4 linked regions of the Schizosaccharomyces pombe genome follow. The gene in region 1 interacts genetically with each later gene. Each region holds a gene or a part of one and is shown on either strand. Other genes may lie near its edges.

Region 1 (6,799 bases):
AAGGTTGCAAAAAGGAAGAGGAAATTAAATCTTTCTGATGGTGAAAACAAAGCAAAAAGTCCGTACAGTTCGATTAGTGAGAACGATGCATCTTTGGATATCATTAAAAGGAGCAGAATAAAAGATGTTAGAAGCCAAAAGGATAATGCGTTATAAGTTTTTTTCTTATTGACAAAAAATTATATATATATACTAATATTTATGATCGTTTTTCCAATATGCGTCCATTATAATCCGATGTGGATTGGCTCTACCGGTTTTGTAGTATCAACTCCTATGACCTCTAAGTCTTGAATTAAAAATCTTTCTTCATATTCAAAGTTTTCGTAATTTGTCGCAGGCTTGAATGCTCCATCACCAGCATGTCTAAATAATCCATACTCTAGACCATCATCAATATACATGCATACTCCGGGTACATCATATTGCACTTTGTTAGTCACTTTATGACGGCTGAGGCCAAAACCCAGGCCAACATTTTTGTCGAACATACAGTAATTTTTATCAAGATTGGAAGCGTAATAAACTTGATGTATAGGCTGAAGTTGAAATAATAATGTTGAATGGTCTCCAAAAAATCCCATATGCGATTGTCTCCAACGAGTGGATATATAAGCACCAAGTAAGATATTTTCATTGTGAAAATCTGCACCAAATTTTTGAGGCACAGCTTTATCAGTCCCAATGCAGTGTGGTGGATATTTTCTCGGAATTGTAGCATCTAATGATATTGGTCTAGAAGAGGATTTGTGATTGGCATTGATTTTCTTTGCTTTAATTAAGAGAATCGAAGGATTGTGATAATTACACATTTTTCTCTCTAGTGCGTACATTGAGTAACCATGAAAGCTTGCTCTAAACAGACTTGTCAAGCCATTGACCTGCCATACAGATTTGGGTAAAAAAAAACAGATTTGAGCATGGATAAGTGGGCTCAGAATTGCAAAGTCGTTTAACGGTGACACATCATCTTGCACTTTTTGATTGTGAGCTGAATGCGGAAATAGTGCCAACTCAAATAAAGATCCTAGAGATTTAAGGAAATATGGATTTGACTCAAGAAAATGAAGTAAATAACTCGGTTTTATAATATTACTAGATATATCCGGACTTATACCTTGTAGCACATAAAAGGCAGCTTTTTGTTCTTTCACAAACATAGAGTCCAAAAACGAATTAATATGACAACCAACCGATTCACCAGGCTTAAGTTTAGAAATGCAAAGTAACAGCAAACATAGCTGATAAATATTTGACCTCCGTATACCGAAGTTTTGATCAAAAAAATTGCTTATGTTCTGAACATCACTATGTATTAACCGCGAAATTTGTTTAGAATTTTTTAAAACTTCTACTCTAAATTTTGGAAAAGAGTCACACCAACTTGCTATGATCATCAAATTGCTCTCAAAATCACTCCAAACATCTTTGTGGCGACCAGTGTAAGAAGCAAGAAATCTCGCGAGAGCAGAAAATGTAAGACGTTGCCTATTGATATTAAGATCCCTTCCAAAACTACAAGCGGAGCGATAAAAAAATGGTGAAAGTTGGATAACGTCTGGAATTCCAAAGAACGTCGTGCTAAAGCACCTTTGTTAGAATGAACAATTTCAACAATACCTTTAAAAGCGAACATACAAGGCATCCTCAACCCAAATTTTTTCACCATTATCAAAGCTTGATAAAGCCTCGAAATTCTCTTTTTATTAAATCATTAGCTTTGTTAAACAAAATTACGAAAATTGACAAACCTTTTAAATTATACCGTTCTAAAGCATTAAAGTCTCGTAAGAAAGAAGAAGTTTGTTTCATATATTCTTCATGAGTCTGTAACTGCCAAAGAACTTTAAATTGGGACTCCTTTTGACCCATTTTTGGGCTGGGTATCTTCGGCGTGATTCAGAGTGTAGTGAATATGACTTCATATTCTATGAAAATAGAGTTGTGCTAAACGAAGTTACAAGTTAACTAATATTGCACTTAATACTCATCTAAATTGAAAACAAACGCGATATACAAAGATATCCATTTAGAAGCAAATTCCTTTGCATTTTTTTGTTTTTTTTATTTTCCTAACTTGTTAAAAAAATACATGCTCAATTGTAAGTGTAAGCAGTTCAAGTTAGTGACGAAAAAGTCGAATTTCTACTAGAAAATTATGCAGCATACAATTTAAAACGGAAATGCTGTCGAAATAGAAAATTGGGGTAATAATGACATGCCATTTATTATACATTCATATATTCATATACTCATATTTCAAAAAATTTTATATACAAAAACCCAATCAAAGCTTTCACATTAGCAAAAGATAAAGGGTAGTTTAGAACACAAGAAAAGCAAAACTTTAAGAAACAGTAGAAATCCAGCCGATTTCCCAAACAGACGCACCGAAATGAAAAATTATACAAAAAGGTGATAGAAAGACAGCGGAGAAGTTGCGATATGGCAACTTTTAGGAAAGGAATTTTTGATAAAATTGGGTTAGTAAAGACTGTAATTCAACTAGCTGCGATTCGAGTCCATAATTTTTTGATAAAGCAGACGCATATTCATTTATTTCTGAAAAAGCTTCGGTAGAGTTTGGAGTTGTGGTTACATTTTCTAATTCGTTTTTCACTGTTTCGCATTGTGAGAAGAAATCGTCAATATCATCCAAAAACTATATTAAGTTAGTTAAGCGTAAATTAAAGAGCCAATGTTATGCGTACGTTTTGTTGATGGGACAATTTAATGTACTCATTTCGTAACTGTATTTTTTTACGTTGCACTGATAGTCGATCTTCCCTCAATTTCGAGAGATCCCGTTGAACAGCTAGTTTCTCATTTGCTGCTTTTTTACAAGCTGTTGATAAAATTCGATTAGCGTCCAGCAAGTCTATTAACTCTAGTAAACGAATAGAAACTTGTTCCACAAACGCATTTTTTACCTTGACTACATAGGGTTCTAGTGGCTCATTCTCTTTTATAAATTCTTGAAAAAATTGCTGTACGGCATCAAGCTCATTAAGAGTCTTTGACCCTCCTGCTTCTTTAGAAAGTTTGGTTAACTCGATACGCACGAGCTCATCTGAGGCTCCCACTACAATATCCTTTTCTGTTGATTGATCCAAAAGATTTCTAGGAGCCATTGATGATGTCTGTAAGGAACTTTGCAGACTACTACTTTGATTCGTCAAAGATTCCGGAGAAGAAGTGGAGATAGGAGAAGCAATTCGCTCTTCAGGGGCCTGAGAACTAAATGTTGTTCCTGTCACATTGCCTGGATGTTCCTCTTGGAACGAATCTTGAGATGAGTCGAGAGATGACAGCCTTTGTACTTTGTTAGGTGGTGAATTTTCTAGGATTGAAGAACTATATGCATCAGAGGTTTCTATATTATCACGTTTGTGAAACGGAATGGATTCCCTTTGTATTTTTTTCTGCTTATGAGAAAAAAAATGATTGTCTTTGACTAAAATATTTGCGCTACTCTGCGTCTCACGTGCGACAGCCGATGAAGATACATTTTCGATGCTGGAAACGGAATTTTCCCGAACTACTTCTTCAGAAATCCTTCTTTCAAGTATATTTTCTTGATCGGAAATAGAAAAAATAGATGTACTGTCATCCAAATCGCTAATTTTATGATATGCCTCTGATTGAGATACAATTTCAAGGTTTTGTTGGTTTGAAGCAGGCGAAGAACGAGTTGAACTAGAAGTAGATGACTCTAAATTGGCCAGAAGGTTTTGATCTAATGAAAACTCAACATTTTGAATTTTGTAGCGTCTACATTGGTTAATTTTTACAAAGTTTTGAAATAACATACTCAGCTCCACGCATTCGTGCTGCTCGTCGCTCATCTACGTTATGGGAGTTATTTTCCATAATATTTCATGCAAAATTTTTGCTTTTCTACGCGTATAGTCAAACATGGGGTTTTGGTAGTTGACGAATTCATCCAGCCTTTCTTTCTAGTCATGAATTGATTTTAGCTATTCTTTGTACAGCCCAAATAATAATTTTAACACCATATATTTTAAACTACGTATTCATAAAGCAAACAAATTACACCTATGTAGTTTAATAGTTAAATGTTCGACATATATATAAAACATTCAAATTCAAGTTCGTAACTATTGAAAATTTTCCAAACTCCTATGTGAGAATAAAATAGATAATTTTATTTTTTAACAAACTGATCAAATTTAGTAAATGTCCATTAAGTTTTCTGATTGCATGCCCGTATACATAGAAATTACCAAGTTATACGACAAACGGAACCAAATTTAGTTAATATTTATGTTGGTTCAATAATTATTATTACATTAATCTAAATTTTCGTATTTTTGGACTCAAAAGACTTTAGATAGCTGGTAGCTAGGGAATGAGTTGATGGTCGTCGTGTTTGTAATATTGAAGGCGACTACTTCTAAAAGTTTAACACCACGTATTGCGCGCTTTTTTTGTCCAAATATTATTTCTTTATACAATCCGAAAAGTAACGTTTACTATTCAACATAAATTCGATTGAAACTTTGAATTTATCGTTTGTCATTCCCGTTCACTGCATAATACGAATTAATAAAAGTAAACTATAAAAGAAAGATGGACGATGAAGGTGCTAGGAAAGTTGGTAAGCATTAATTAATTACCTGATTTATTTTAAAGCTGACCGAGACATATAGATGAAAAATGTCCGTTGTGCCAGGCGGACAGATATTTAAATCCAAATATGAAATTACTTATAAACCCTGAGTGCTATCACAAGATGTGTGAGTCTTGTGTAGACGTATGTTTGATTGCATTTGTTAATACAAATAAGAAATGAAGCATGATTTGCTAATTCATAGAGAATATTTACAACTGGACCTGCTCAATGCCCTACTCCTGGGTGCAACAAAATTCTCAGAAAAGCCAAATTTCGAGAGCAAACATTTGAAGATGCTCAAATTGAGCGCGAAGTCGATGTTCGGAAGCGGATATCTCGAATGTACGAACACTGTAGCTTTTTTTTTAATTTACTCTAACGTGCGTTTTTAGCTTTAACAAAGGACAGCAAGAATTTGACAGCTTGCAGGCTTACAATGACTACTTGGAAGAAGTTGAAATTTTAAGTATGTTATTGACAGCGTCAGAATTTTATTAACAATTTTTTTTAGCATTTAATTTGATTTATAAAATCGACGTTGAAGAAACTGAGGAAAAAGTTAAACAATATGAAAAACAAAATCGAGATTCTATAGCAGCAAATTCTGCAAGAGCCGCCGCAGAAGCACGCATTTTGGCTCAAAACGAGATTCTTCTCAAACGCCAAAAGCAAGAAGCAAGAGAAGCGGCTATACGTGAGCATCAAAAAGAAAAGGAAAGACGTGAACAGGTTGAGCAACAAATTATTTTTGATTTAGCTACATCAGGAAAAGATCCTAACAAAATTATCCAACTATCTGATTCCCTTAAAAAGCAACAAGAAAACATTGCCTCTTCGGTTTCAAACATTTCACGTTCATCTTCAATTCTTCTATCTGATGTTCAGCAAGTAGCAGAGGATACTACGCCTTTTAGTCCTCTTGCTGGAGAAAAAGATGGGAGCAAGTATTTTTCATACTCCAAAAACACCTATCAAGATTTGTAAGTGTCAATTTTGTAGCATCACCCATAAATATCATACTAACAACTCGATTAGATATTTGGAAAAAGTTTCGCATGAACCAGGCCGCAAATGCGGTTTCCGTATAGAAGATTGTCATTTGCGATGCTTATATGAGGCTTTTAGTGGCATTGATTACGATTTAGAAAGTCTCAAAAAACTTGAAGTAGCAAGTTAGTCTTGCTTTAATGCTCTCACCATGCAGTTACATTTCATTTTTAAGTAAACGACTATTCCATTTTCATACTAATATATTTATATACGTTTGTGGTAAGTATACTTTATTCTTTGTATTAGTAAATCATAGCCTTTGTATATTACCATTATCCCTAAAATATACAAACTAAAACAAATCCTTGTGATGCTCCCAAAAAGATTAAAACCTATAATATTAATACGGTTTGAATTGCCGCTTTTCTTTTAATTGTTGGATACGCTGTTTATCGAACTCAAACTTATGAGCTAAATCCAAAAGAGCCTTCTTTTTCTTTTCCCGAAGCTGGAAACGGTAAAAATCTTTGTGGATCCCAGTGTCTTTTTTCTTTTCCAATTGACGCTCAGCATCCTGAGGTCGCCCGACAGGTGCCCGGCCGCTGCGAACGACCGTTACGAATCCATCTTCATCAGGTTGATTTTTCATAGCGAATAGTCTCCTCTTTTCTGCTATTTCCTTTTTAGTAACACGTTTCATGTATGAATCAACACTTTCGGCTAGAACACGTGGATTGACAAACTGTCTATCATAACTTTCTACATAACCTATTAAACACATTAGTATTTCCAAAAAAATAATGACCATGTTCTTACGTTTCAAACCAGTATGCTGTGTGAACTTCCAAGGAAGCGAGGTCGTCTTTTTAGAAGCTGCCTTGATAACTTGTTTAACTTCAGCGGGCTCGACTAATTTGACGCGTAAATGGGTGCCACTTTTCAAAAGGCCACTAATATTAGGATAGATATTAACGATACGACCGCCCAATTGAGAAATTGCTCTTTTCAAAATCTTTTCAGTAGTTGTGATAGGAACATTAATCAAATACAGTGACTTCTTTTCAACATCTTCCGTGTCTTCTTTCAAAAATATACTATGCAACCTCTTTTTATTTTCCAAATAAATTTCTAGTTTAACAAACCCTTTTTCTTTGAGCTTGTCCATTTATATGAGTT
Region 2 (8,426 bases), on another chromosome or scaffold:
TTTAACCAAGTTCCTAACGTAAACATGTAAATATAAAGATACAAATTTAAGTCTATAAATATCTAAAAATCAAACAAATGATGATATTATTATTTTACTAAAAAAACCTAAATGAAATTCCATTCATTTCCCAAAAACTTGTTTCTTCCATTCCCGAAGCCGCTTTTTCTTTCCATACTTCTTTTTATCTCTAGCAATCTCTTCCGGAGTACGATATGGAGTCATCTTTTTTAGACCTACATAATTATTAAGGTCGGCATCTGATGCGTTAAGAATATCAAGTATATCAAGTCCAAATGTCTCTGGGGCGACCTGTTGGTAGCGAAATTTAGAGTTTTTAACAATCACCGCCTCAGGAACACCGTATTTTTCTTCGACGTACTCATCAATTTTTCGTTTTTTCTCCCTGATATCTTTACGTAAGGATTTTTTTGATTTTTCACGATTTCCAGTATCTTCAACAGTTTTATTTTCTATGCTGCCCAGATCTTCGGATCCATTATCCACTTGAGCGATGTCATCGATGTCTATATCATCGCCAAATTCGGGCTTTTTAGCAGAATCTTCTTCGTAGTAATTTTCGTTAAAAATTTCTGACATTTTGGATTCCCATTTTTCCGGATCAAAGTCTTCATCTAAATCAAGTTTTGAAACATCGATATTTTTGGAACCAGCAATTTCAATAACCTGATTAAGTTTCTCCTCTAACTCTTTCCGTTTAAGATTTTTGAGTCTGTTGACTTCCTCTAGTCGCTTTTGAGATGCTTCTTCAAGTCTTTCTTTTTTGCGATCACGTGCACGTTTACGAGAATCATCCTTCCTTCGTAAACTGTCAGCAACATTTCGAGGGTGAGAAACTATTTGGCTGCCAGCCTCTTCTTCAAAGCGGAAGTTAAATTTGTTTTCAAATTCCTCAGCATCTTCGTCAAATCTGTTCTCGGCATCAACCTCATCAATAATTTCTTCATAGGAAGGTTGTTTGGTGTTGGAAGTTCGCCATCCACGATTCATCATATATTTCAATAAAAAATCTTCATCTGACGGCTTAATTCCATTTTCATCATCTTCAGTATTAACAAGAACAGATGGACGCTGTTTGACATACGAGGATGATAAATCTTCTAAAACTTTTCTAGCTTCCTTACTCTGTGCACTTTCCAACAAAAACCTTTCATAGCCATGCTCTTCTTCTTCAAGTTGTTTTTTCGTTTTCTCTTTCTTTACTAAAAAATCACCATCTTCGTCAGATTCATTGCTCACTGCATCCTTATTCCCGTTGACATCATGAAACGCTGCTATTGTTTCTTTTCTTAAACGTTCTTGCTCCTCGACGTGAGTGGGATTAGCATCGTTTGGCATTGGTTCATCTTCCTCCGCATCTAAAATTTCGCCCGATAACAATTTTTGACGATGGTAGTCTTTTAGTGTGACGGAGCGAAACCCGTCCTTACTTTTTAATGATCCTTGCACATCCTTTTCGACTTCATCAAAATACTTCTGTTGAGAATCATATAGATCAGGATCCTTGTTCCGAATTTTGACAATCATTCGTAAAATAGCAGCATCCACTTCAGGAGTGACAAGTTCTCCATCCGAATCTTCTTCCTCTTCACTGGAACTCTCATCGCTGCCTTCACCATCCACTCCATTAGCCATCTGTTCCCCGTATTTTGCTTCTACTAATTTTAGTTAGTATACCTGATTCACGTTTTCTTTTCAATTGAAATTTCATAAGCAATAGAATAATCGCCAAAGATTTGCTTTTCAACTGATTGCAAGAAAGCCATTACAAAAAAATTTACTTACACTTTTGAAGCTCCTCACGCTTTTTATTGTGTTCAAATCGCTTTGCATATTCTTCGTTAATTTGAAAAGAATTAATTTCCTCATCTTCAGAGCTGCTTTCCTCTAATAAGTGACTTTTGCTAGTAACGTTTTCTTGAAGTTGATCAATTGACTTTTTATCAGTTGGTACGTTGGAATTGATAACCTTTTTTTGAACCAAAGCTTCACGTGCTTTCTTAGCTGCTGATTTTTTTCTGGGCATCTTGTGAATGGTAATGGAAAAAGTTTGGTGGGGTATTTTAACAACAAGTAGTGAAAAAAGTTGGCAGTGTTGCTGTAAAAGTTACCACCAAAAACTAAATTTGCAAATGGTGGTGAGTTTTTAACTTCAATTAATAATATAAAAAATGAGAATTCGAAGAACAAGAAGAATAAAAAACTAAATTGAATAAGTTGCAACTAGTAGACTAACATATCGGAACATTATAAGTAGTATTAATTTTGAAAAATACACAATGAAATTGATTACTACCATTTCAGTAAATATATAAACAATCTTTTTTAAAAAAAAGCCGAAGTAATTTCCTAATCATTTAATTTGTCTGATTAGATATGACAGATTCATCGCCATAAGAATTGCGATCTTCAAGTGACATGGATGCAACAGAAGGAGGACGAAATTTAAACCGACGACCAACTTCATAAATGTTATCAAGGGTTTCCTCTAGCTTACCCTGACTTTTTAATTTATCATAGCAATCGTAAAGTTTCAAAGCAGTTAGGGCATCTTCAATAGAATCATGTTCCGTTAGTTGAATTTCTTCATCCAACAAATACCAAGCCAAAAATTTTAAAGAAAGTTTTCGTTGCCGTGAGCTCAAGAAAAATAAATCAACCGTATCAACAACCTGCTCCGGCGGAACCAGCAAATTAATAATTCGAAAGTCTTTTTGTAGACCATGACCAACGAATATACATCCAGCATTTACCAAAAGACGAAGCTTTTTATACGCAACTTTTAAAGGAACGACATTATATGGAGAACGATCAGGATCTAAATCGCCAGGATGTATACCTGAATATTCCGTAAGATAGTCAGTAACCTTATCGTCAGTCGCAACATAATCGTCTATGAATGGCAAACCTTTGTTAGGCCCTTCCCCACGTAAAACTGATACACGAGCTAACGAGAGTTTACTGGGTTTAATGGTAGATTTAGTACCATCACTTCGTACCTCAGTTTCTTCCTGCTGTAGGGCAACGAACTCAGAGTCTATGCCCACTAGCATTTTAGGATACAACATTTCATCAGTTGTGAGAGGTTGAATTTTGTTGATAGGTGGGTTTTTGTTTAATGAGTAGGGTTGGTATAACAAAGTATAGTCTGATACCTCGTCCCATTGCGGGATCTTTGTATCAAGCTTTTCATAATACACTATGATAGGTATTTTCCAAGGGCCATGCACCGTCAGTGCTTCTTCTTCAGTTACCTCTTTAACTAGAAAATCATTAAAAATATACCATCGATTATCATCGGGATTATCAGAGCTGGTATTATCGGATACTGTCTAGTTAGAAAAATGATAATAACAAATTCATACCTCTAATTGTTGAAACAAAATGTGGTTCTTCGCCATTCTGCCGAATTTCATATATTATACCACGTAAAACATAGACAGATAATGACTGTTGATCCTTATCCAGGTTCGATATTTTTTGTGATACGCATTGCATAGTGTCATTAACTCTACGCAAATGAAGTTTCTTTGGTAGCCAATTTTTTCGAGCCCACAACTTCCAGTGTTCATGGTGCTTAACTTGCGTATTTATAAACAAACAATCAGGTAAAGAACGAATAAAAGAACGAAGCAAGAAAGGCTGGTGGGCTAAACAGTATTCACACCAACCTGGAGGCAGATCAACTCGACGATCCAGACTCATTTTAAATAACCATTCAAACGACAATATGGATTCAAGTTGTTGGGAAGGATAATGAAGGTCTATTATATACAAGGATGATTTAATTTTTTGACTAGTAATTCCACAAATTCCGCAACGATAAGTCTGCATTTCTGGTATGCAAAATGATTTCAGCAAAAAACTAACAGGAAATGAAGTCCCATCCTTTTTATCTTCGTAGTCAGCAATCCGTGAAATCTCTGTTAACATAAATTTGGTGAATTTCTGGATCACAAAGGAATCAGGAAATGTACCATCAGAGTAGTCATCAAACACAATTCCCAGAGATTGTGCAAATGAGGAATTTGAGAATGCTCTTAAAAAATTCGTAGCTTGGCAATTTCTTCCAGTACTTTCTTTAAGCATAGCAAACAAAAATCCAAGCTCACAAAGCAAACATTCCATTAAATCACACGGACCTAATGAATGGCTAATTGCTGCTTTCGAAAATGAAGGAACGTAAGACAAAAGCTGCAAAACAGAATTGCAGTATGAATTAGTGATGTCGGTTTCAAGGCCCGCGTACTTAGTTTTATTGTAAAATCCAAAGTCAAAATCTTCAATACCGAATTTACTATACTTAATTACCGGTCTTTGATAAAACTTCGGTATAGAATCAGGTCCAGATATTGTGTCCTCAATTTCTTCAAAATAAGATGCAGAACCTTCAATATCGTTTCCAGACATTATGTCTTTCTGCCTTTCGCTGTGAAACTTCGGGGTCGCCCCTTCAGATATTAATTTACGATTCAACCACGGGACTTCGATAATTTGATTTCGATGGAAAGACTTAATTTCTTGTGGAACAGGGTGCGAATTTTCCGATATCTGTTTTGCAATAAGAAGATTAGAGTCGAGGATAGGTTTTCCAACATCAAATATCAAATACTTTGACCATGAAGAAAGCAGCTCGTCTTTATAATAGGGCAATCCTATTGAGTTCAATGGGCTAAGTCGTTAGATTAAACTTTGATACAAAAACATACTCATTATTTTCTAATTGCACAGTTTCAGTAGAAGTGTTGGGTAACTGTATAGGCAATTTGAGATCACTGAAAGATGGATTTTCTAGAGGGCTCCAAAGATGAATATTATCTTCAACATCAGTGAAAACCATAGCATCACCAGTCGAAGCTATATCCATCCCAGTTAGATAAGAAGTTAACGGAATTTGCATCAACTTTGCATCCAAGGGATTTCCTGTATCAACAATATGAAATTGACCCGAACAAGAGCAAACAACAGCAGTGGTAGACAGCTTTGGATGCATACGGATGATAGTAGGACCAGCAGGAAATGGAATAGGAACAAGACTAGATAGATTTCGAAGATCCCAAACCTTAACAAATGGGTCTAGCATGTATGTGCCATGTCGCAATGAATAACCACATGATAATAAAAGGTTTCCAGAAGTGTCAATATCTGATATAGTGCCTGTATGCGCTACAACTTTATTGACTGGCTGAAAACTATTTGGGTCGCGAAGAATAATTTCACCATTTGTAGATCCACAACAGAGAAGTCTATTCCTTCGCATTATGAAAATGTCACTAACGTTTTTGTCCTATTAAATGTTAGTGATACAGGACACAAAGGAACATTACCTTATGAATTGAAATTCCTCGTTCAGCATTAACAACCGTAAGCTTTTGATGATATCCTCCTATAACAACTTCGGGATTATTACGACTCTGGTAGAACATAGCCCGGTAATCTATACAATCAGAATCCCTAGAGATTAGTACTGCATGTTTTGAACATAGAAAGCATGAATACAAAATGATCATAGATCGCTGAACACAAGGTACGGAACTACTAGATCAAGAATGCATATCATGATATACTTACTGATATCTCCATCTTATTGTTCCTTTGCGATTACTCAATCGTAAAGATTTACTAGAAAGGGAAAATACACCCCTTTCCTGTGGTAATACTTGGTGCACCGGACCCTCATGCCCAATGAATTGAGTATACGATGTTAGTGAGGGTCCGAAAGAAGATTTAATTTGACCCTAGAATTTACTTAGTTTCATAATTAATCTTTAATCTAACTTACATTTTTATGTCCAGTCCATACTAATTCTGAGTAGGGATCAAAAGCAATAGAACTTAAGGAACACGTCGATACACCATCATTTTCAGTTGTTTTGGTAATCTAATTTGTTAAAATTTATAATGGAATATTATAAAAATAATTACTTCTTTCCACGCATCCATCTCTCATTTCAAACAGTTGACTATAACCTCTTTCTCTAGGAGTTGAAGTGTTGGTCATAGCAAGCCAGGTTTACCTAATGAAAACTAGTAATACAACACAAACCTACGATTGTGATTTCAATCAGATATTAAATAGTTATATTAAACATTTGTATATAGTTGATAATCTGCAATGTTTTATATGCCTTTTCATTAGAACTAAATATTATATTAAGCGCCTGGTTATGAAAATTATAATGCAGAATGATCTTTTAAACTCATGCCACGAAAGCATGTATTAGCAAGCCAATCTACTAAAACTTTGTGTCTTCGATCGACTAATCGTCCTTCATCTTTCTCATGCGATTTTCTTTTCGATTCCCAGAATGTTGGTATCCATGTAGCATAAATAGTTTCTAAGCTAACGGTACGTTGTGTATCCTCATTAATTGAAATATCTTCAATAATAGGTATTCGTTCTTGTAAACCTCCTGTCTCACAAACTATAAGTATTTTACTATTTTGTAAGCAAAGCATCAAATACCTAGATAGGTAACGTCCATTTAAGCAACCCCTAATTTTTAGCAGTTTGGAAATATCTGCTATTCCCAGTATTAATTTTGCGTGCTTTAAACGTACTTCAACTATTTTTTCTAAATCATCCACATGAGAACAAGGAATCAATTGAATTCGTTCTAAAACTGATTGAAAATGAATGGAATAAGCTTCCTTAGCTAAAAATCCATCAAATGGATTTTCCATTCTTAGAATGTTTTCCATTGGATTAGTCGAACCTGTTGGATATACTAACACGCCTTCGTCCACATCATTGCACTCAAGGGCATTTACTAAAGTAAGCAACATAGCAGAGATACTTCCAGAATGAACAAAAATGGGGTATTCAATGCTCGTTGACCTGACCTTTCCCCCATTTCCAAAATGCTCTTTAATTAGTTGTTGCATTAAGTAGTATAAAGATAATTTACGTGTTGTGCTCAATAAATACTCGAAAATCTTAAAAACCAATTTGATCAAAAAATTTCAGCCTATTTACTTCTTTAAAAAAACGAATGTTATTTCTCGTAAATTTTAGAATAAGCAGCATTTTGCTTATCTTTTATTATACAAAGTTAATTAACTGGAGACTATGTAGCTTGGCAGTTTCCTACCAAGCTATTTTATTTATTACATGATTTAAAAGGTCCAGCTTGAATTGCCATAAGGAGTACTTTCTAGTCCTTTGCAAAGTATCCAAAATTGTTTTACTTTGTCTTTTATTCGTGCCCTAGAATTTGTTGTTAACAAGATAATCATTACATAGACGTGATGAAAACGACAAATAATGCTTACTTAAGAAGATCTGTTAAAAATCGACGTTTGATCTCATTTGAAACATTCCGTGAAGGAAATCCTTCTTCTTCAAGTGACTGAGTAAGGCATGCTCTTGTCGCAGAGAAATTTTGTGCCTTTAATTTTCCTAATATATCTGAAAGCAACGGTAAAGAGCTCCGTGATGCATTTCCACCGAACCCCTATAAATCAGTATTAGTTTGCAAAAAAAGCATAAATATTGTTTACCAATAGTATTTTAGCAATAAGAGGACTTCGAATTGCATTCACGAAATCTGTATGAGTGTTTAGGAGGTCGCTTTTTTCGGACGTAATGAATGAAATCTTAATGTTAATATTTTTAACAGATAATGATCACTTACAATAAATTGGCCGGCTGCTGATTCTAACAATCTCTCAGGCTTGCCAAGCAAATTAATCGCGCGGTTTAAAATAAGTTGGGTAAAATCTGGATACATCGTTTCTAAAAATGAGGGGTGTTTTTGAAGAATTATTGAAAAGAAGTGATATAATTCGACTGTAATGTCGATATTGTTCATAAATGATTCTATTTTAGTTAGTATGGCACATTGCTGCTAATTATTTACCTTCATTGATTATAACAACAGAATTTTGAATCGATGAGCACATATCAATTAGCACTTTGTCAATAATATCAGTCTGGCCGTAAGGACATGTCAAAATTGCTGATCCCAACGTTAGCAAAACTGCTGCCGGAAATTCTGTAAATCTGTCACAGAAGTATTGAATGGTAGTTACTATAGGCAATGAAAATGGAGAAGGCTCTACTTCATTAAGACCAGCAATCATAATCTTGCAAATTAACTATATCATATTAGTATTTTCGGTTTAACAGATCACCTACCCCAACGACGTCGGAATACTGTAACGCCATAGACTCGGAATGGGTCAAAAAGGAAATGAGTTTTGCTTGAAATTCTGCAATGCACGATTGCTGCCAAAAAGTTGTTTCCTGGGTAGATTGCTCAACATCAATTATTGGACTTTCGCCAATTGGACTCTGACTTAAGGCCACTCCGGCTACGCTTTGGAGGCAGGATTTCAAAACGTTTTCGAATATTTCAAGATTAGGATATAAACTTGGTTGAAGTTGTGCGAGAATGCAGTTTAAA
Region 3 (9,007 bases), on another chromosome or scaffold:
AAGAAAGTCACTTGGTTGGCTGATACGGAGGACAAAACTCCTGTCGACCTTGTTGATTTTGACTATCTTATTACCAAGGACAAACTTGAAGAAGGAGAAAACTATAAGGACTTCCTAACTCCTCAAACTGAATTCCACTCTCCCGTCTTTGCTGACGTTGGAATCAAGAATTTAAAGAAGGGTGATATAATTCAAGTTGAGCGTAAAGGTTATTACATTGTTGATGTTCCATTTGATGGTACGCAGGCTGTTCTCTTCAACATTCCAGACGGTAAGACTGTAAATCGTTACGGCGTTAAAAATTAGAATCGAGCATATTATCCAGTCGTAATATAAATTTTGTTACCTCTATTGTTTTTATAATATTTTTCTTCCATATGATTTGTAAAGTCGTGTTTGGTTGATTGTATCTGAGACTAAACTCCGAATACTAAATATTTATAAGTTTAACCGTTCAAACCGAAATTTCTCTTACTACAGATTTAAAGTATAGAAGTCTACTAAAATATTTGCACATAAATTTCATTCATATCATAATGTTGTCTTAAAACCTTCTATAAAGTTAAAGAATTCTATGCTAATAAAATTTATTATCACACCACTAAAATACAATTGGGCTAGTTAATCTGAAGTTTGCCCATCGGCTGAACGATGTGATCGTGCTTGCGATTGAGTTCTTTCGACCTTAAGGGTTTACCACGTTTTCCACCCCTACCGCGGATAGATTGTGTACCATTGGTAGAGTGGTGGTTACCTTTGCTAAACTTACTCTTCGATTTATGGATTAATGATTCAGGGGGAGGGACTTGATGTAGTGAAAAAGGCTTTGGATGATGCTCTCTTTTGTTCCAAACACTAGAAGATGGAGGGGATGGAGGTGATGGAAAAGTTGAAGTGGGTTTCGTTACCAAACGAGAGTCAGTACCTTGAGAAACATTATTTGCACTAACATTGGTTTTTCTATTCTTTCCGGCACGGGTATTTACAACGAACTGAGGATTTGTAACGTTTAAAACCATTGAAACTTCAACTTGCATACCATGATATGGCGAACACCTTCCATCTAGAGTAGTTCCGCTCATAAAAGGCAAGTCAAAGACGACATCCAAATGATGCAACATAATACCCACGACAGTTCCGTATGCTGCAATTGGAACTTTACCAGAGTCCTGAACATAAACAACACGATCGCCTAAAGCAAATTCTTGACTATGCAAAATTCCACGTGTTTGTGAAGGTTTTAATAAGGCATACCGAGGGACGCCAAAAACTTTCTTCGGAACCTGATAGGTAGAATCAATTGTGCTTGCTTTTTCCTCAATTAGCTTTATAATGTCCGAGTCTAAAGCATCTTCATCTAAAGATACTCTAGTAAGAGAGTTAATCCCTTTCTCTTTGATCCAATGTTTGACCGCAGCCAATTGTTGGGTATCATCTTTAGGGAAGCAATCCTTGACCGTTAAATTATCCTTGGTAGCATGTGTTGTTAAAATATTAAATAATTGAGGGAACGTATTTATGTACTCTTTAACAAGGGCAACGGTTTTGTTCGAGAATTCCCAACCTTTAGTGCTTTTCCGGGAAAATCCTAACACTTTTTGATTTCTGGCATCAAATTTTAAATTTAATCCAATATTTTCTCTTTTAGTACCATTGCTAATTAAGAAGCTAGATGTTATTTTACTTAAAAGTAGCGGATGTATGTTAAGCAACTTCGCAACGATATAAGAAGGATAATATTTCTCTTTTGACTTGCTATCGTTAACAAGAACACGACCCCATTGGGCATCCAACCCAGGGGCGGTTGATAACCAAATAATGAGCTTGTTGTCCTTGCATCCTGTAATTTGTGCAGGTCGCCCATAATTATACTCTCCGAGATGAAAAGCCTTCGTTCCTGGAGGATATTCCACCTCTACTGGCGGAGCTTCTCTCTCGGTAAATCTTGGATCATCTATAGCAATCTTTTCGACCACTAATTGGGCTGGATAATCCTCAAGGACAGATTCGTTAAAAATCTTAACAAGAGCACCTTCTCTGGTATACTCCAATCCTTTGATAGGACGTACTTGAAGCAATAAGGAAATATCACCAAAAAGAACGCCAAATCGTTTACTATATTCTCTAATTTTATGGGAACATTTACGGCCCCATTGGCTTTTTTCAATTTCTGCCAAATCCCTTTTCTCAATGGTACTGTTTGAAGCTAAATACATGTAACTTTCGTCCATAGCACTCTCCACATATGCTTCACGTAAATAAGGCCAGTCTACAAAAATTCGTTTTCCGACATATTGCATCGCAATTTGTTCCGACGTTAAAGCAGATTTGACGTCTTCAACATTGACGATTACGGAGGGATTCCTGCTTTCATTACCAAAAACATTGATACCATGATACACTAATTCTGCTTTATGCTTCAAAGTGTGAAAGGAAGGAAAACCCACCATTCCAAAAGCACCTAAGAAAACGCCAGGGCAAAGACCAACCAAATATTCTTTACCTTCCATCGAAGGTAGAGAGTAAGGTTTTTGAATACAGCGGGTAACCAAATCCGGAAAAAGTGAAGGTAATGAAGAAGGATAAAACGATGTATAATCCTCCGCTAAAGAGAAGACCGTTGGGGCATTGAAGGAATTTCTTTTTCGTTCCTCTTCAGTCAAAAATTTATCCTTGGATGCTAGTGCGTCTATAAGACGGGTTTCGTCAATAAAAGGAATTATAACCACAGCTTCCCAACTAGCTGTTTTTCCATTTTGATCCAAAGCAAAATTTTCTGGATAAAAATCAATAATTGGAGATTCGCTGTTAACCATTAAATCGCGGAAACAAGGGGGTACTAATGCCTGACTTCTTGCAGGCAAAACGGCCATGAGCTGCTCAAAAGGACGGAAGGGTGTACCCATTTTGAAATCAATCTTTACATCAAGGCCCTTTAAAACATCTGAAATCTTTGGTGCAAAATGGTAGTTGTAATACCAACCCCAAGACTGACATCCACGGTAATAATAGAAAAGTACCCATTGTAAACCTTCAACATAACGTTCAGCCATTGCTTTTAAAGCTTCTTCATCATAATAACTAAAACCAACCTTGCTTCGATAATAATCATCCTTCCATTGGATAAAATCTTTTTCGACGTTTTTTTCTTTTAAAGCTTGTTCTTCGTTAAGCAAAGGAATGTTATCATACTTTTGAAGTACACGTTCGATTTCGTCCTGCTCAATTTCATCTTCGTCTTCATCATTAAATTCAAGATCTCTAAATGTAATCCTTAATAGATGAGTGCCGTCTACCTTTATAATTTTGGAAAATGACAGATGAAGATCATTACATAAACGTCGTAGAAAGCGCTGATCAACAGAAGAAATGTTTGCACTAAAATCAATGAACGGCTCACGAGAAGACAAAAACTTTTTAATCTGTAAGAAATAATTTTTCTGCTCCCCTGTCATGGCTTTAATATCATTTGTTGATTCAGTAATATATTTGAGAAAGTCAAAAGATGGTTTGTCAGAGTTCCCATTGTTTTTTGTCTCAGAAACTTCAGCTTTAAATATCTCTTTCTCAAAATTCTCAAGTTCGAGGAGTATAAGTTCCAATCTAGCCATATTGATTACTCCCTTTTCATTAATATATCCCCCAGCAGAAGGCATAACTTTTTTGTATATACTAAACATCAAAGCTAACGCACCCTCATTAATATGAAGCCCAGGCAAATGGGGAAGGAAGTCATTTCCGACAAAAAAAGCTAAAAGAATAAAGTCGTCAAGGATTTTTTCGAGATCATACTTAAAAGTGAATGTAGATCGGCATTCTTGAAATTCAAATTCAAGATATTCTCTTAATAAACTTAAATGCAATAAATAAAATTTTTGGTGAGCCAATTCCTTAGAACGGTTTCTACTTGCCGGACCAAAAGTAACCTCCTCACGTAATAGACAAAAATGTGGATCATGAGATAAAAGACCTAGCATAATTAAATCAGCATCCAAACCATAAAGGCAATGGCGAGTGTTAGGATTATAGCTAGGTTGAGCCTTTTGGGTTCGAATATATTCCATAATTTTATGCTCACCCTCACCGGGGCAATCGTGGCCAGAGAAAATAACCTCAATGTTCTGCCACTGGGAATCGTTCGTAACTTTTTTGTGAATAAAATAGTATAACTGTCGTGAAACCCTCTCCATAAAAGTTGTACCTGGCGTTATACAGTTACTGTCAAATTGCTCCTCGGGAAAATCCTCCCCATTACGTTCTGCTTTTAAACGCGCATCGTGGGCATCTTTAGCAGTTCTGAATCGGCGACTGCGCTGTTGATTCATTTTCGCACGTGGGGCACATCCATCTACTGCCATATATAGAAGCTTTTTGGGTTTAATTTTTTCAAATAAATGCTCAATATAATTAAAAATGGCTATATACATTTCCTCTTCTGGAAGTGGTGGTGAGGAATGATCATCATTCTTATGCGTACAGTTATGAAGAATACCATTCATATCTAGATAAAGATTATCAAATCTATTTCAATTAGCTCCATACGTTTCAAACGATGATTTAAATTGACATACTCGGGAATGCGATCGTTTTCAATCAGCTGACTGCACAGCGGATACCTTTCGCTCATCCATCGAAAAAACTAATTGTTAAAAACTTATACAAAATATCGATAACAACCTTTGGAATTCCCATACTGAACGAACTTTCTCATTAACAGTTAAATAGGAATAAATTTAGAAAGTATTGTTGTTAGTAGAGAACAAATGTCAACATATGCGGTGCTTGCACGTATCGATAGGCCCCAGGTTAGTGAAGTTTAAGGAGTTAGTTATATAGTACATGAAATATTGAAAATGTGTAGATCCTCTTTGATTTAATATCATACTAACAGAAGCCTTTTTAACGATATCATTGTGAGTAAAGATATTATCATATTATCATTTTTTTCAACAAAAATACAAATGGCAAAATAGTTAGTCTTTGAGACTAGCTGAGTCTAAAATAGAGCAAGTTCTTAAACATTGAGGCGAAGGAAGGAGTTTAGTTGTTTGAAAAACAAATCAAACACATTTATCAAGAAATACGTTTCGACTAATTGAAACTGCAGCAGTAGTAGATGATTAAAAAACATTGGCAAATTTTATAATTAACGAGACATTTACCTTTATAATAATGTGTCTAGGGTATATCAATACAATCACTGTAAGTTGCTTGCAATACTTATCGATTACGGTACAAAGATTATTCATTCATAATATATTTGATGATAAACTATTAATTGAGCTCTTGCAAATTGAAAGTCTTACACAGCAAAACTTAGTAAATAATTAATAAAATTGTTGAAACTTCATATATGTATATAATAACATGGACTAATTTACCATGTAACCAAAAAAGTGATTCGAAACAACGTTCAAAAAGAAAACTTAAATAGTAGTTTTCCATTAGGATAACGTCTTCCTTAGCACGTTGAGGCTAATAATAGTAAGGTGGAGTGAAATAGCTCCGGTCAATTTTCAAGAAAATAAAATAAGCCATATGAAAAACGACCATGTGTTCGAATTTCTTCTCATAATACTAAGATATCAAAAAAAAAAAAAAAAAAATTCGTGAAAAACAACTGAAGAAGGGCATTCATATTTTTAAAGAGTAATAGAGAGAGAACTTTCGACTGCTTTTAAAATCTTTGGTTGCTAAATCGTATGCATAAATAAACATATGCAAGGATTGATATATTTAAAAAAGTGATTGTTTTAACAACTCAAAAACTGGAATGCAAAAAAAAATAAAAATATAATACCATTTAGTTGTAATAGGAATTTACGGACGGTATCACCTCTAGCGATTAACGAACAAAATAAAACCAAAATTAAAATTTTCCAATCAATCTAAAAAACTCCTCCCTAGTTTTATGGCTTCTCTGAAATATACCAGTAAGACTACTAGTAACAGTACTGCTACCCGGTTTTTCAACACCGCGCATAACCATGCACATATGAGTAGCTTCCATAACGACTGCAACTCCCTGAGGTTTTAAGACAGCTTGAATAGCTTGGGCAACTTGTTTGGTAAGACGCTCCTGCACCTGTAGGCGACGCGAAAACATATTGGCTATACGTGCGAGCTTTGAAAGTCCCAATACACGCTTACGAGGAATATAACCAATATGAATCTACAATAATGTTAGTTTAATACGCTGAGTTTGTGAAAGAGGGTTAAACATAATTGCATAGCCCAATCACGTGAATGCAATGGATAAAATCCACTTCTAAATGAAACCTACTTTTCCAATAAAAGGAACCAAATGATGCTCGCACAAACTGAATACATCAATATCTCTAACAATGACCATTTCTTCGTGATCTTCTTGAAATACTGCCTCATTGATCACTTCGGTCAAATTTTGCTCGTATCCTTTGGTAAAGTAAAGCATTGCCTTGGCATACCTCTCAGGTGTTCCCAAAAGGCCTTGTCTCTCAGGATCTTCTCCCAAACATTCCAAAATTGTTGAAATAGCATTGGAAATTTTTTTTACTTTTTCTTCCTCAGCAGTATCTATTCTACGTTGTGTTCCTTGACCTAATTGGTATTAGAATACTTAAATGAGTATAAAATATGCTTTCATTACTTACAAGGCCAAGAAAGCCCGTCTAAATCAATAGTTGGTGTAGATGCGCCAGAAAGTGAGGCTGGTTGCATCCTCAAAGGAGAATCTATATAATCCTTTTTTCCAGGCTCCATGAGAAATAAATTTTTAATAAATGAAATTAAGATTGCAATGGATAAGTAAACCGCTGCAAATGTTTTACGCTAACCGACAAAAATACTGTCACACATCTTGGTTCATGCAAGAGAGTGTAGCGCAGAACCAAAGTCTCACTATTTGTAATTAAAGATCGTTTTGCTGTTTAAAAAGTTCCCAGGCATGATTAAGAATGCTAAATGCAGATTCAGCTATTAATTGATGTTCCACTGAAGTCTGCTGGGGTAGTTTATCAGGATGCACTCGGGACACCGCTTTCATGTAGGCAATCTTCACCTTCTTTGGTAAGACCAATTCAGAAAGCGAAACCTTTTGCCAGCGGCATTCAGGCCACAAAATAGTATCTAAGGAAGCAAGCAGTGCTCGTAAGTTGCTCTCTTTCCCCTCTTTCCACTTATTCACAATTTGTTGCACTGGCTCACGTAAACGACTTCTTTCTTCGTCTAATTGCTCTGCTTTTTGCTGAGCCATTCGAACGTGTTGTAACCTCTCTGATTTTACCTTTATATTGGTGTGATTAGGGGTACTTTTTGGCTGTTGTGTTGTGCGCTTAGAATGAGATTCGGAGGAGTGAGAAGAAATGGCTGCTTCGCACCTGTGTTTACCATCAATATATAGCTTGCTTATTTGCCCGTCTGCAATAAGATCTTTCCAAATATTCAAAGATTCTTGGTACTTTTCGAGCTGCTCTAAAACTTGTGCCTTTCGAACCATATTTTTTACATAGTAATCATTCATACTCTTGTCTCTAATGCTTTCTCCATGTCCTTTTTCTTCTCCAATAATATCCACTAGCTCATCTACGTCTTGTAAGCAAGTCTTGAGATCTCCAACTTTCTGATAACACAAGCTACGGTTGCTGAGAAGAGGGACACGCTTTGTATGCTTGGCAGGTAATTGAGAAAGCGAGTTTGTAAACTCTTCAATGGCTTGGCTAAAATCACCTTTGCGAAAAAGTTCATTTCCTGTCGATTGTTGTTCTTCTACTAGAGCGCTTACCATGTTATTCAAAGTCTCTTCTTCGCGCTTCTTAACAGTGGACTTCCCAGGTTTATTATTGTTAACTTGACGAGCCGTTGTTGATTCATAAGCCGTTTCAAGTATATTCTCTGTCCCTTCGTACGTATCGGATGGAAAGTTAAAAGAGCTATTGTCTGACTTAGAAGTTAAGAAATCGACTAAAGATGATTCATCATTTCCTGACCGGCTTTGATTAGTGGTGATTCTGTCTTCAGAAACCTTTTCATTCATAGGAACTTTGTGCGGCTTCCGTTTGGGAATTGGGGTTTTAGGAAGGATTTCAGGAGTTGCTTCGCGGCCAAAATCATGGGAAGCATCCATCCAACGAGGTTTGCTAGGATCTTTCACCGCTCGCCTCTCCTCAACTGCATCTCTAAGTTTCTTTCTTCCAATGTTCCAAAGATCATTAGCCTTTTCAAATAACTGACTTTTTAATTGATTGGATAACGCTTGAAAGTCTGAAAATTGAGTTTTTGCACTTGAATCTGAAAATGCTTCATAAGCTTCTCCTTCACGATACTGTCCTTTTGCATTATCTTTTTCAAGAATGTACTCTATGGCATCCTCCAGGCTCCCGGAATTTTCTAAAGCCAATCTGCTTTGATCGTCAGAAAAGCCCAAATCGCGTAGCTTTTCATACATCTCGTTGGAACTTAACTTATCCTTTGCAGTATTCATATTAGTAATTTCATTATGGTTTTCAAAGGGGATAGAGGTTTCCGAACCAATATTCTCAAAGGCGGGTAAACTGACAGGCTGATGCGGCTCTAAAGACAAATCCTTTAAAGTTACTTTCTCGGAAGCCGATACTTGTGGTTGTGAAATCGGCCTTTTATTTTCTTCAATCTTATCATGAATAACTGCATCTTTATCTCTAGGAGTATTTGATAATTGATGCAAAATTTCAAGGTTTTCAAAGGGATCGTAATTTGAAGATTTGGGGGTGGAATTGGAGTCCGGAGTTCCAACTTTCTGCCTTTCTAGTTCTTTTAAGGAAATTTTATTATCCGTTTTCTTTTGAAATAAATTAGCAAAAGGGTCTTCGGGCTTTGATGCTTTCAATGGAATTTGTGCATTCTTTTTCTGGGCTACTGGGGCGGGAAGGGAGTAGGATGGCGTTCTACTATTATTATTACTGTAATTATTTTGATTAGATGGTGTAGATTTATCGTAAAAATTGAAATCTAGCAAGTCATCCATGTTGGAGGCTTTATTATGGGAGTG
Region 4 (5,961 bases), on another chromosome or scaffold:
GTAGTGAAAATCTTCAAACTGGAACTGTAATATGTTTACTATAATAATACCAATTTTGAGAACTCGAGTAACAAACGTAGATAAAATAACTGTGACAATATATAGTAGGTGTTAGTTTTATGAGTAGTGGAATTGCAATGACATAACAAAATGCCTACATGAATGTATGAATGACTATGGACGAGTGAGTAAGATATACAAATATTAGACGATTTATTAACAAATAAAATACAATTCTTTCAAATTTGATCAAATTAAGGAAAATTTCAAGCAAATGTACATTTTAATTTACGGTAGTAGATGACCATATATTTAAACTTTTATAATAAAGCTGGGTGAACGATGACTATTAGCTATTTGGTATTGCAAAATGTAAATATTCAAAACTACAGCAGTGTTATAATGAACATGTAAAACGGGAGACATGAATGACAGTGTCGATGGTTTATATCAATACTGAATATCATCTATGAACACAGTTTGTTAAAACCAATGTGAAAATGATTAAAAAAAACATAAGATTTTTAATGTCGTAAAGCGTTATTAACGACGACATTTCAGATTATTGCGAAATGATCAACGTGATACAAGATAAACTTCGGTGTATGGATACATGCAAATTAGGTCTATGTCAGTCACACACACAATTGTAATGAAAAGTGAAATCGGTAATAAAATGGAAGAGAGCTATTTTTTTTAACCCGTTCATCACAGAAAGTGAAATCAATTACCGGTTACATTTTTAACGCTTCTTCACGCTGCCCACAAGTTTTTGGAGGCTATCTTGCTGGGCATCAGCTTCCGATTCTGCATCACCAGCTAGAACTGCAGAAAGAACATTTGTTTTGCTAGATTCCTGTAACTCTCCTGCGAGTAGTAATTCCTCCATAACGTAATATGCTTTTTCGAAATTAAAAATGAGGTCAAGCTCACAAACCTACTCGGTTAATAAAAGTACAATTCAAATTCAATCAAATCAGGGGGAAAGCCGTACATTACCAAAGTATTTGTCTAAGCATTCAACAAACTTATGGATGACTTCTAATATAATTAACTCATTATCATCCTGTTCAATTCCACAAACAAAAAACAAGGAAGCATATCGTCGGTAAACAATTTTTTCGCCTAAGACAAATACAGTTAATTCATATTTTGAATAAAAATACCAATTTTTTTACCTTTATATTCAACAAAATTGCACATTTTTGGTTTTCGTGTAATCACCAGTGAAGAAACATCACGGATTATTTTGGCTCTCTCCTTGATTGACAAAGTATTGAACCATTTAGCTAAACGCACCTTTCCCTGGCGGCTTACGAGTAGAAAGAACTTTATAGACATCTTATAAAAGCTTATTAAATGCTTATACGCTGCTTTAAAGGGGATTGACACTATAAGGTAAACGATGTTTCAATTCGTAACCGCTATGGACGAAAGCTCATAAAGGTTACAAAAAAAAGGTAATAAATAATCAGAAACAAAACAGTTATCTAACGTTGACTGCCAAGATTGACTTAACGCTCACTATTGCTTGGTGTTGATAGCGGTAGTTAGGTAGTGCGTGTGCCAACTCTAAAGCAACTAAATACATAGGGCATCGGCAAAAGGTCCATAGACTAATTAAACCATATGAAGGATACCATAAAGACTAAACAATAAATGAAAGATTTTTTATAAAAAATTTTCTAGAGACTAGTATTTAGAACATCATCCTATCATGGTACGTTTACGGCCACGCATTCGTACTTCTTCAAATCTTCGAAGTGTTGCCTTAGATTGTTTCCAACTTTGGGCATAAGAGTCTAAAACATGATGAAACTTCAAACAGTTAGAATTTAAGTGCTTTAAGTCTAATAGTTAACATACCAAAGATTCGCTTTCTGGTAAAGTACTTGATAAAGCTCTCTCTAGGACGTAAATATCCACAGCTTTATCTTCCTCAGATTCGGAAACGCTTCCTAAACCGAAATCAATAAAAATTGGGACCGGATTGTTGTGAGACTCCAGCATCATATTACTAGTTGTCAAATCTCCATGAACGATATCATTCTTATGCATCTTCGCAACTTCTGATCCTATTCGCTTCATTAAAGGAATAAGTTTTTTTTCAATCTCACATTCGCAGATCTCTCGAATATAATCTCGTACACAAGGTCCATCAATCCATTCCATATATATTTGACCACGATTGGCATCTATAAAGTACAGCATGGGACATTTTATTCCAACGTAATGACATTTTGCTAAAAGTCTTGCTTCCACTAAGCAGCGTTTTCTTGATAATTTCTGATCTAAAATAGGATGTCTCCATCGTTTCGCAGGTCGGCACTTCAAAAGACAAACCTCACCTGGATAAAACTCGGTTTTTATCGTGATTGCTTCTGCACCTTGCTTTACCACAGTTAATTTCTTTTCCTTTATTTCACGATATATATCAGAACATCTTTGCCTAAGGTCAGGTTTTTCTGACATTTTAGAGTTATGTAAATGAAGATGGGATTTGGAATGATAATATGCGTTAGAGATCCGAAAATGTCACAAATTTAAACTGTCTTTAGAAAATTATCGTAAGAACTGTCAAATACTAATAAATATTTTTTAGACTTAAATTGATTAATTTCTGTTATTTACCCACGATTTAAATGTAATACAAAAATTAATTGAGTTATCCAAGAAAAATTACAGCATAAAGTTGACACTTCATTTAATATCATAGCCTTATATGTTCGTTTTTTTTTTTAATTCAGTTTATTAGTGTCTGCTGCATATCAAATCAAGTCTGGTTTTACAGAATCAATATGCTGATTTAATGTTAATGTTAATAACTTAAGAGTATTTAATTTAATAATTAAATGTATGATTTTAAGGGTTCATCACTTGAAAACACGTAAATTTGTTTGTTCAGAAAACCAACACAAACTCGATAGTGTCTATACAGGAAGACGTTTTCTAGATGCATTGCTTGTTCTTCATTCAATACACTTAACTCCGTAGGAGCTATATTTGTAATTTCTTCCAAAAGCTTTTGACTAAATTTTGGGTTTTTAACACTTCCAGTTTCATCGACAATTATGCTTATTAAATCTGCAAATCTCAAACCTGTCAAATCATTGCCATAAACTAATCCCCCTTCTTTTGTTAAATCTTTAATTTTACTTTGCATTATTAAAACGCCAACCTGCCCAAAAGCTTCTCCAGATTGGCTGGCTATTTTTTCAAGAGCCTCTAGGGTGCTCAATCTATAAGCATTTATCTTAATAAGTTCTTTTCTTTTGATTGAAAAATTTAATAGTTTCAAAACTTTACCATCAAATGACTGAAGTGTTTGAATTATTGCATCTTTAATTGACAATTCCAGCATTCCGGTATTGGTTCGGTAGGCAATTGCATTATGAATCAACAAAACTAAAAATTTTGGTGAGTAGGTACATACCTGAATAGAAATCTTTACATACTTGTTTCATTGTTCCAACTGAGAGCGGATTTAACTTGGGACTCTCCTATCAACACGATCATGGCTGATCCAGAAATATCGTGTACGTGTATCGTTTGTTTAGGTAGAGATTTTTTTGTTTCATTATTAAATATCTCGAATTCTTCTTTCCACTGTATTGCAACTAATACATTGACGAACGCCCCATCTTTAAAGTCATTCACTAGTGACAGCGGAACAATATTGTCGCTACCAAACCCAGGACATGGTATTTGCTCTGGTTCAGAAATTGTAGCTTCAATCTTGCTTTCCAAATTTTTGGAATGAATCTGTAGTTTCCAAGCTCTTATCCCAGAAACACGACAGACTACGTCGCTATAGACGAAAACTGAAATGCCGAGTTGTAACTGTCTCAGCATTTCAAATTTTGGCGAATACTTGGATAAACTATAGTTCAATTCAACAATTCCAGTATCATCCATAAGTTTAAACATATAACAAACCTCGTTGGATGAGACACGCTTATTTTTTAAATTAACTATCTTTCCCTTAAAATAGTATCTAAATGTACTTGTCCCTAACTCGTTAATTTTTTTGAATTCATACAATTTCCAATTGATAAACTCAGATAAGTAAACTTCCATTTTTATCTGTAATTTGTGGTGGTTTGCTTTATTTCTTTGGATGCATGAAATACGCGGTAATGAAGTGAGCTAATTTAAATACTAAACATATATACTGAGGCAGTTGAAAAAAATCAAAGAACTTTTTATTTGAGTTGTTCGTCAATAGAAGGAAAAGCTCAACAAATGTAATAAACAATCTAGCTTTAAGAGCATTGAAAATTCATTCTTAAAAAGAAACTGAGAAACCAGCTTAAGACATATTACTTAAGCACTAATTTGCAAAAAAAAAAATACAAAAAGGTTGAGAGTGTTACCACAAGAGCTAAGACTGGAAATAGTAGACATTAAAAGCATGGTTCAAATTCATGTCTATTAAAAGGGTCAACGATGTTAACCCTCACAAGAATGAGTACAGCAGCTTTAATAATTTAGTTTTCAAAGACCAAGGAGTTTTTGGTATTCATTAAAAAAGATTTAACTCTTCAAACTCCAAAAAACTGCACGTAAACACGAAGAGTAGCCATTTATAAAGAGGAAGCAGTTAAAACCATAATTGGCGAAAAGTGTGAAAATGCTTGAATCGCACCATTATGAATCTGGTAAGTCAAGTAAATGTCCCATTTTCTCAATTTTAGTTTTGAGATAAAGGACTACTTCAGCACTTTCAATTCCCTTTTCACCTCTCCATGACTTGGGTATCATTGAAATCCGTTCTACTACACGAACTTCTTTATTTGGGCCTTCAATGCTATTAACCTTTTCAGGATTATTCGTCAAAAGTCTGATATCACGCTGACCAAGATCCATCAACATAGCAGTAGCAACTGCATACGATCTTCCATCTGCTGGATGTTGAAGCAGTAAATTGGCTTGGACGGTGTCGTTTCCTAAATCCTGAAGATTATAAGCCTTGAGTTTCTCGGACAAACCAATTCCGCGACCTTCTTGACGAAGATATATTATGACACCATTCCCTTCTTCACTAATTAAACGGGCTGCTTCATCAAGTTGTTCACCACAATCACAACGAGCCGACCAAGCAGTTTCACCGGTATAGCACTCGGAATGAATTCGAACCAGCGGTACAAAATTAGTCTTCCGTGCTTCTTCTTTCTGCTCTTCGGTAGTTTTTGAAGAGTTAACATCAATATAAGAGCTTTTACGGCCAGGATAAAGTGTCCCCACGTATGCGCCTCGTACCATACGGTCCATTTCTGTTTCGCCTTCTTGCACAGCATCAAGACTATCTGAGCGAATTTGTTGACCAAAAACAATTGCTAAATGCTCTTTATTATCAAAATCGTTTTTGTATAAATGGAGGAAAATCTCCGTCCCCTTAACTGTAGGAATTCTTGCTCTAACAACGCATCGAACCTTTGGAAGCCTTTCAGCAGTACCGACAACGTTGGGTTTAGGCTCAATATCAAGCGCAGGACTTAACATAGGCGAATTTACACATTGTACATCGTCAATTGGCAGACGTTTTTCAGAAGCAACATTTTCAGGAAGACTTAAATCCTGGAGCAATGTTTTGTCATGATGCACTTGATCGCCCTCTTTTTTATCCATTTATAGTAAATTATTAGGATAAAAAAGTACTAATATGGATGTTAAAAAGAAGATGTGGGTTAATGGTGATCTGTCATTAACCACGCTTGTGAAGGCTGAAACCTGTTGTCTGGAAAGTGTACGAATAGCTTACTAAGAAATTTCAAAATTGGCACTCATTCTACAAATCACCTTTATTTACTTCCGTCTTTACTAATCTTCTTTTTTTTTACTAATTATTGTTTAATTTGTGGGAAAATACAACATTTACAGCACTACCTTAAGTATGCAAATACAACAGGTTATCAACAATTATTTGGAATATTTACAGTACTTTTTGATTAAAATATTAAA

Evidence for each region.
Region 2: of mis17 (region 1) and pan2, a mutation in one rescues a mutant of the other (synthetic rescue), as found in Schizosaccharomyces pombe (one study listed by BioGRID).
Region 3: of mis17 (region 1) and exo2, a mutation in one rescues a mutant of the other (synthetic rescue), as found in Schizosaccharomyces pombe (one study listed by BioGRID).
Region 4: of mis17 (region 1) and bud32, a mutation in one rescues a mutant of the other (synthetic rescue), as found in Schizosaccharomyces pombe (one study listed by BioGRID).

The regions. Positions count from the first base shown.
Region 1 is NC_003423.3:3,211,342-3,218,140, reverse strand, and holds mis17 (kinetochore protein Mis17 ), read right to left. Parts: upstream 3,936-6,799; 5' UTR 3,871-3,935; coding exon 3,812-3,870; intron 3,772-3,811; coding exon 2,712-3,771; intron 2,663-2,711; coding exon 2,456-2,662; 3' UTR 2,203-2,455; downstream 1-2,202. Other genes in the region: SPOM_SPBC21.03C (EVE domain (PUA-related) protein, implicated in tRNA metabolism (possible RNA binding domain associated with tRNA methyltransferases)), read left to right, coding at 1-156; rtc5 (V-type ATPase inhibitor and disassembly protein linked to MTOR), read right to left, coding at 228-1,581, 1,639-1,699, 1,752-1,872; transcription factor TFIIK complex ubiquitin-protein ligase E3 subunit, Pmh1, read left to right, coding at 4,591-4,618, 4,671-4,774, 4,836-4,975, 5,026-5,099, 5,145-5,613, 5,669-5,810; rRNA processing protein Rrp7, read right to left, coding at 6,024-6,391, 6,440-6,788. UniProt on the Schizosaccharomyces pombe protein: Component of the kinetochore, a multiprotein complex that assembles on centromeric DNA and attaches chromosomes to spindle microtubules, mediating chromosome segregation and sister chromatid segregation during meiosis and mitosis.
Region 2 is NC_003424.3:730,418-738,843, reverse strand, and holds pan2 (poly(A)-specific ribonuclease complex subunit Pan2), read right to left. Parts: upstream 6,023-8,426; 5' UTR 5,965-6,022; coding exon 5,947-5,964; intron 5,903-5,946; coding exon 5,804-5,902; intron 5,760-5,803; coding exon 5,593-5,759; intron 5,476-5,592; coding exon 5,349-5,475; intron 5,309-5,348; coding exon 4,731-5,308; intron 4,694-4,730; coding exon 3,387-4,693; exon of another isoform or gene 3,350-3,386; coding exon 2,379-3,349; 3' UTR 2,241-2,378; downstream 1-2,240. Other genes in the region: kri1 (krr family protein), read right to left, coding at 124-1,679, 1,807-2,047; SPOM_SPAC22G7.03 (uncharacterized protein), read right to left, coding at 6,196-6,906; karyopherin Kap111, read right to left, coding at 7,138-7,228, 7,294-7,475, 7,522-7,617, 7,656-7,840, 7,881-8,118, 8,159-8,426. UniProt on the Schizosaccharomyces pombe protein: Catalytic subunit of the poly(A)-nuclease (PAN) deadenylation complex, one of two cytoplasmic mRNA deadenylases involved in mRNA turnover. PAN specifically shortens poly(A) tails of RNA and the activity is stimulated by poly(A)-binding protein pab1.
Region 3 is NC_003424.3:1,774,234-1,783,240, reverse strand, and holds exo2 (exonuclease II Exo2), read right to left. Parts: upstream 4,752-9,007; 5' UTR 4,693-4,751; coding exon 4,678-4,692; exon of another isoform or gene 4,640-4,677; coding exon 4,572-4,639; exon of another isoform or gene 4,532-4,571; intron 4,522-4,531; coding exon 618-4,521; 3' UTR 501-617; downstream 1-500. Other genes in the region: gus1 (glutamate-tRNA ligase), read left to right, coding at 1-306; fol2 (GTP cyclohydrolase), read right to left, coding at 5,870-6,172, 6,284-6,579, 6,633-6,741; UBA/TPR/DNAJ domain protein Ucp7, read right to left, coding at 6,890-8,983. UniProt on the Schizosaccharomyces pombe protein: Multifunctional protein that exhibits several independent functions at different levels of the cellular processes. 5'-3' exonuclease component of the nonsense-mediated mRNA decay (NMD) which is a highly conserved mRNA degradation pathway, an RNA surveillance system whose role is to identify and rid cells of mRNA with premature termination codons and thus prevents accumulation of potentially harmful truncated proteins.
Region 4 is NC_003424.3:1,618,791-1,624,751, forward strand, and holds bud32 (serine/threonine protein kinase), read right to left. Parts: upstream 2,503-5,961; 5' UTR 2,473-2,502; coding exon 1,867-2,472; exon of another isoform or gene 1,819-1,866; coding exon 1,708-1,818; 3' UTR 1,578-1,707; downstream 1-1,577. Other genes in the region: vas2 (AP-1 adaptor complex sigma subunit Aps1), read right to left, coding at 743-937, 995-1,125, 1,179-1,341; protein meu32, read right to left, coding at 2,849-3,405, 3,456-4,077; rib1 (GTP cyclohydrolase), read right to left, coding at 4,648-5,628.